2 linked regions of the Callithrix jacchus genome follow. The protein of the gene in region 1 interacts with the protein of each later gene in a biochemical or structural test. Links are inferred from orthologs where the notes say so. Each region holds a gene or a part of one and is shown in the gene's direction. Other genes may lie near its edges.

Region 1 (3,654 bases):
TACAGGCAGGCACCACCACACCTGGCTAATTTTGTATTTTTAGTAGAAATGGTGTTTCTCCATGTTGGTTAGGCTGGTCTCAAACTCCTGACCTCAGGTGATCCACCTGCCTCAACCTCCCAAACTGCTGGGATTGCAAACCTGACCAGTTTGCTAGTTTTCTTTTGGAAAATTTTGAGAAATTAATGTTGCCTGAAGTTACTAATTTCAGTTCTAAAATTTTGCATATTGCTTTATATTCTAAGACTTGTAAAGGGTCATAGGAAAATCTTAAGTATGAAAACTGAGCTTGAGATTTCATAAATAATGCTTTCAAGTACATTACACTCTGCTAATGTAGAATGGAGCATTAGAAAAGGAAAATAGATGAGTAAAACTTGAATCCATAGGAGGTAAATGTTACTCTTGTAGTTGTATATAAAATTTTCTTATCATATTTGAGAATTCATCTAGTATCTCTTGAGTCTTTAATGAGAAGCCGAGGTAACATGTATCAGAACGTAATATTAGCTCTCGTGCATCTTAGGCACTTGTTTTAGTCTTTTGTAAATGCCATATGGCAAAATGATCTGTTCAGAGAGGTGTGGGGCTCACCATTTTTTTTTTCATTTTCACACGTGAAGATTTTGATAAATATCCATATCAGAATAGCTCAGAGAATGTCAGTGGTTCTCATGGAGTAGGAGTAAGGTTTGACAAGCCCACCAGAGGATTTTGAGATCTCTCTCTCATATACTCATTTTCCGCATATATTCTGTCCCACACAACTGCCAGTAAGTAGTAAATGGCCAAACGTTAGGTGTAACGGTAAAGAAGCAAAACCTGTGTTTCATAGTTCAGTTGATATTACGTGGTTTTCAATGTAGTCGTTTCTGTTTTCTCAGAAAACATGGAAATATTTTTGTGCTCCTTTTTAAGTAGTGTGACTTGTCATTGGCCTCTAGGTTTTAACAAGTGACTGTGGAGCTTTTCCATAAGTCATAGGGCTTAGGTCCTCAGAGATTATGGAAGAACAGCTGTCACCTCTGGCTCCCTTACATTCCTCCAACCTTTTACACACATTGTGTAGTTTTAATTTCCTTCGCCCCTTTAATGGAAATACAAAGCCTAAAAACAAGGAAATGTATGCTTTGCATTAAGAGTTGAGCATATGCTTAGGAAACAAGCTTTCTGAGCAAATTTAATACAGGTAACGTAGTTTTTTTGAAGTCATGTATTACATCTCAAAGCCCTGAACTGCATGTTTGGAGATCTGGGTTCATTTCAAATTTTTATTAGCTGGATAACCTTGATTGTGTTATTTAATCTTTCTGATTTACAATTATAGGATCTATAAAAAGACAATATCTGCCATGCCTATTTTATAGGATTGTTATAAGGTGCAAATAAGAAAACATTTTGAAAATAAAGACATTATGAAATTGTAAGGTATTATCCTTCAGCATTTGTTCAGCAAAGATTTATTGAGTACTTGCAATGTGCTAGTACTTTATTGGGGTTACAAAAATGGGTGACATATATTCTGTTTTTTATAAGTTTGCAGTCATGGAAGGATGCAGATATGTAATCAGAAAATTGCAAGACACTTTGATAAGGTGCAGTAATTAAGGCCGTTGCAAGACAGAGTTGTGGTCATGTTACCTCTTTTGAAGAAGTAGAGAATACTGCAGTGAGTAAGAAGGCACTGGCAGAAAGTGAACTTGATAAATGAGTCAGCAATCAGATGATGAAGCACTTTGGATGCTAAGGGATTTAGAAATTTGGGCTTAATTTGTAGGCCTGTGTGTCTCAGTGTCCTCTAAAAATCTCATTTCATGAGATTGTGCTACAAAGATGCTGACTGTTGAGGACCGAAGATGATGTTTTTTGCTAAAGTGTTATACACACTATTATTACTGTTATTAGACTCTTCAGTGCTTTTATAATGCTAATAGTGTATTTTGTGAATATGGAGGGTGAGGTTAGGTGGCTGCAGCATATAGCATTTTCCACGTCTATTCCATGTGGACCACCTTTGTTCCTAAGAGCATCTAAGGCACAATTGAGGGAAGTGCTCTTGTCTGTATTGGGGGGGGGTACTGGTGAATTTTAAGCTGGAACATAGTACATGATCAGATTCTTAATTGTCAAGAAAACTCTGGCCGCAGTGGGTGGGATGTATTGGAAGACAATAAAGTAGAAGCAGGGATACTTGCAAGGGAAGCTTTGGCTGGAGGTCAGGAAATAAATGATGAGAGTCTGAAGTACCAGTGGAGTAGAAAGGGGCAAATTTTAGACATATTTAGGAATTAATTTCAGTGGAACTTTGAAGACTGATCAGATTTGGGACTAGGTTTAGCTAGGTAGAGGGAGGAGTCTAGGATGATTTCCAGGTTTTTGGCATATCAGCTAGCATTAATGGAGGTGAGGAATTCAGGATGGAAGAGTAGGTCACAGGCTTATTTATTTATGAGGACTCACTTAAAATGTCTCCCATTTCTGAACCCAGTGATGTACTTTGACTTTCAGCACTTAGTTCACTCTAGAATACAAAAATGTATTGTGTAAAAATAAGTCTTTTTAATGAATTCATTGTTTTGTTTTCCTTTTTTCAGTCAGGGCCCAGTCAAAATTTTGAAGCTGAGTCAATTCAAGATATTGCGGTTATGGAAGAGAGCACAGGTTTCTATCCCTCAGAACCCATGCTCTGCAGTGAATCGGTGGAAGGGCAAGTGCCACATTCATTAGAGACCTTGTATCAATCAGCTAACTGTTCTGATGCCAGTGATGCCTTGATAGTGTTGATACATCTTCTCATGTTGGAGTCAGGTTACACACCTCAGGTAATTACTGCAAGCAAAACACAAACATTATTGCTCCTACATGTGGATGGTTCCTGCTCTCAGGTTGCCCATAGTCTGAGAGTGGCAGAGATAGATAAATATATAAAGCACTGTACTGTATTGGTGAAGTTCTGGGAGAGACATATGCATATATAGGATGCCAGGAATTCATGGAGGAGAACATTTAGAATAGAGCTTCTCAAACTTTAATGTGCTTTGGAATAGCCGGGATCTTACTAAAATGCAGATTCTGATTTAGTAACTGTATAACAGATCGTGAACTTCTGCATATGCCTGCATAATACCAATGGTGCCGGTCTGTGGACCATGTTGTAAGTTACAGAGATCGAGAGTAATTTGGTGATCAGAGCACAGCTGCAGTGTGAGATGCACTGAGCCAGGAATTAGGATATAAAAATGTTGGGCTATTTCTTATCCTCAAGGAGTCCATGCATAAATGGGGGAGAGACAAATGAAAAGATAATTATAAATAACATAAGTAAACCTAGATAATAATACAATAGAAGTGTAATGGAAATATGAATAGAATGTTAGGGGGCAAAAGGAAATGGCAAACAATTTTTCTTTGAAAAAGGCTCTACAGTGGAAGTGATATTTGAGCTGGAGTTTTAAATAATATGGCTTTGCTAGGCAGAGAAGTAAGTCTTTGAAGAGAGAAATTCCTGTTTACATGATGTAATTTTACCTATTTGAACAAAAAATTTTGATTAAAAGTGTTATATTCTATAATATACAATATATTGTAATTATCCTACAATATAAAATATAATGGCAATATTAATGATTTGACGTATTTTATTTTATTTTATTT
Region 2 (3,654 bases), on another chromosome or scaffold:
TGGGCTGTAACTTCTTCGTTGACACAGTGGTGTGAGTGTCTACCCATCCCTCTGAGCCCACGGGGTTCAGCTTCCCCCTTCCCTCATGCAACATATATTTTTTTGAGTATCTTCTATATACCAGGCACTATACAAGATTTTATATCCCAATAGGATATAAGCTAGGTGCTGGGATGTGACAGTGATTAAAATCGGACAAAATCCCTGCCTTCCCAGAGGCTCAATTTGGGGAAGGGTGGGAAGCAAAACATAAACTATGCTAAACAGTGATGAGGACTCCCCTCCACTTCCTCTAACCTCTCTCTCCTCAGCCCAGATACTTCACGCATCTATGTGGCCCTGGGATATGGTTTTTTCCTGGAGTTGACACTGGCAGAAGCTCTCAGGTTCATTGATCGTAAGAGCTCTCTCCTCACAGAGTAAGTCCATTCCATGAGGATAGTGTGTAAAAACACTACCATTTCCAACACTCTCCTTTCTTTCCCAATGGCTGCCTGGAATGATATTTAAGGACTCATCTCCCCACCTCCTCAGAGCTGGGACTGAAGAAATGGGGATGCAAAGCCCATGTGTAGCACATAATAAGCATTCAAAAAATGATCTTTGTATTGTTTGTTCATGTAAACATTTATTGGGCATCTTCTGTATGCCAGGCATTGCTTAGCAGTGGGAATGCAGCAGTGAACAAGACAGAAGAGTTCCTTGAAGGCTTTCAATCTAGAAGGACTACACTGTTATACATAAATAGAATTATGACCAGATCCATGAGGTCTCAGCCTGTTAAAATTGGTAACAAGAAAACTAGTTACCTGTGATTTCACTTCCTGCTAATTTTACTATTCATTCACTGTGTTCCTGCCACACTGACCTTCACATGCTTCTTTCAACATCCCAAGAATGATCCCACCCCAGGGCAATTGCCGTGGCTGTTCTCTCTGCCTGCACTGCTCTTTTCCCCAGTACCCACATGGCTTCCTTTCTCCTTACTCAGTTGTCTTGCTTAAATGTCACTTCCTCAACCAGGTGCTCTGTAACCTAACTTTAAAATCACAGCCCCTGGCACACTTGATTCCCCTCCTTCTACTTTTTTTCCATAACACTTATCATGCCCTAATATTTACTGTGTAATTTCTTTCTCATATTGTCTCCTCCAATTAGAATATAAGTTTTGCAAAGGGGGAGATTTGGTTTATACCCAAGGTGACTAGAGTAGTACAAGCATATAGTAGACACTCTGTGTTTTTGTTTTTAAGAGATGGTGTCTTGCTGTGTTGCCCAAGCTGGAATGCAGTGACTGTTTACAGCTGCAATCATAGCATACTACATCCTCAAACTCCTGAGCTCAAGCAGTCATCTTGCCTCAGCCTACCAAGTAGCTGAGACTACAGGCACACCATTGCACCGGGTAGCTGGGATTACAGGTGCTCACCACCACTCCTGGCTAATTTTTGTACTTTTAGTAGAAACGGGGTTTTACCATGTTGGCCAGGCTGGTCTCAAACTGACGACCTAAGGTGATTGGCACACCTCAGCCTCCCAAAGTGCTGGGATTGAAGGCGTGAGCTATGACACCTGGCTAAAGTCCAGTTTTTATAAGAAGGCTTTCCTTGTTAATGTCACAGGATTCCTGAGCCTATCAAATAGATTTTAATTTTTTGAGACTCCGTATACTTCTCCCAAATGAAATATTTAAATTGTCAGTGCCTGCTCCCTCGCCTGGTCTTTTTGATATACTACCTGGTCTATTAGTGTGATGAAAAATATAGTTGACTCTTTTATTGCGTTATTATAATTAGTAGGGCCGTCTAGAAGTTTAATTTTTCTAAGAGATGAGGATTTGAGTCTATGTAGCTGGCTCTCCCCTTTAAAACACTTGGTTACTTGGGATATACTTTGAACTAACTTTCTGGTTATTTTATGTGATCAAAAGTGTTCTTCCTGTTCTTAGTATATTTCTTTGTTCAGGAAGTGGAAGGGATGAAATCTCTGTATATTCTTTCCTGATGACACAGAAAGGACTACACATCCACATCTCATGTATAGACATGTAATTATAGAAGAAACAGCATAACCATATGACTGCTCACACTACCTTACATGCTAAATCAGTAGTACTTTGCTTCTCCACATAGAAAATAAAAATAAATCAGTAGTAATAAACATATCCCTTTTGTGTTACAGCTAGCACTTGGTAAACTGCATTTTTCTTCTTAAGTGTTAAGCTCATAGGTTTTCATAGGCTAAGCTTATACCATTAACTAATTTTGTTCTCATTTTTTATGTTCAAATTGGCCCTTAGGAACTGATCAGATTCATTCTTCTGTTTTTTAAGCATTACCCCAGAATATTCTTGAAAGTATTCTTGCTCTCTGGCAACAACACCCATACTTCATTTAGTTCCTGTTCCTAAACATACACTCAACCAACTTCAGGTTCCTTTGAATGGAGTAGGCACTTATTCAATATACGTTGGGTGCCTGCTCTGTGCCATTGACACAGAACAGTCCCTGCTCAGGGACATTATTCTGGTCCCTGAGGATACAGCAGTAAACAAAAAAGACCAAAATCTGCCCTCATACAGCTGACATTCTAGTCAGGGGAGATAAACAATAAACGAATGATGTAGTATGTCAGATGTTGACAGTGCTATGGAGAAAGCATATCGTGGAGATCAGAAGCAATGGAGCAGTCGTGATTTTAAGTAGAATGGCTGACTAGATGTGAAGTGTGAGAGAGGGGAGTCCAGGTTTTTAGCTGAGCAACTGGAAGGACGGAGTTGCCATTATCTGAGATGGAGACGGTAGGGGAGGACTGGATTTGGAGGGGAAAGTCAGGAGTTTAGTCTGGAACCTGTTAGGTATGATGTACTTATTAAACACTGAAGTGGATTTTTGGAAGATGTCATTAAAACTCCTAGTCAAGTTCAGAAGAGAGTTCTGGGCTAGAAAAAGAAATATGGGAGATATTGGTACATATGGGTTCATACTACTTTTTTTTTCCAATTTAGCATCCTGTCTTAATGCTGTCTACTTTTCCAATAGTATTTAGTTTTATTTACCCCTCAAACTGACTCCTACATTGACAACACAATAAAATCCACATTCCTTATCATGATATCAAGACCCCGGATGATCTAGGATGTTGTTATACCACCTTCCTTCACCATTCACTTAATTTCTAACACACTGACCTCACTGCTCCTCAAACAGCTCATTGCTGCCTCTTGGCCTTTTTGTGGAAAAGGCCTTCCTCCTGCTTAATCATTAGGCATTCTTCCATTCCTTCTCATTCTTCATTGTTTAGAAAGGCCTTCCTTGACCCTTTATATCAGTTAGGATTCTTTTGGGTGAGACCTAATCCAAACTGGCTTAGATAAAAGGAGTCAACTGACTAGTTAATGTAATTCAACCTCCTTCCTCTGCCACGATCTTCCCCTGGTTCCCATCTCACTTAAGGTCAAAGCTAGGGTCCTTACCATGACCTTGTAGGCTTTACACAATCTGCCTCCCTCATTACCCCTCTAACCTCACCGCCTACATTCCCCCTTCACTTATTCTTTTCCAGCCACAGTGGCCTCTTTGCTGCACCTCAAACATGCCAGGCACACTCCCACCTCAGCGTCTTTGTGTTTGTTACCCCTTGTGTGTGGAACAC

What was found.
Region 2: of the proteins of FBXO7 (region 1) and UXT, one has a biochemical effect on the other in vitro, tested with the Homo sapiens proteins (2 studies listed by BioGRID). The link is inferred for Callithrix jacchus from reciprocal best matches to the Homo sapiens genes FBXO7 and UXT.

Annotation. Positions count from the first base shown.
Region 1 is NC_133502.1:203,537,041-203,540,694, reverse strand, and holds part of FBXO7 (F-box only protein 7), read left to right. Parts: intron 1-2,594; coding exon 2,595-2,822; intron 2,823-3,654. UniProt on the Homo sapiens protein: Substrate recognition component of a SCF (SKP1-CUL1-F-box protein) E3 ubiquitin-protein ligase complex which mediates the ubiquitination and subsequent proteasomal degradation of target proteins and plays a role in several biological processes such as cell cycle, cell proliferation, or maintenance of chromosome stability.
Region 2 is NC_133524.1:48,614,911-48,618,564, reverse strand, and holds part of UXT (protein UXT), read left to right. Parts: coding exon 1-31; intron 32-311; coding exon 312-419; intron 420-3,654. UniProt on the Homo sapiens protein: Involved in gene transcription regulation. Acts in concert with the corepressor URI1 to regulate androgen receptor AR-mediated transcription. Together with URI1, associates with chromatin to the NKX3-1 promoter region.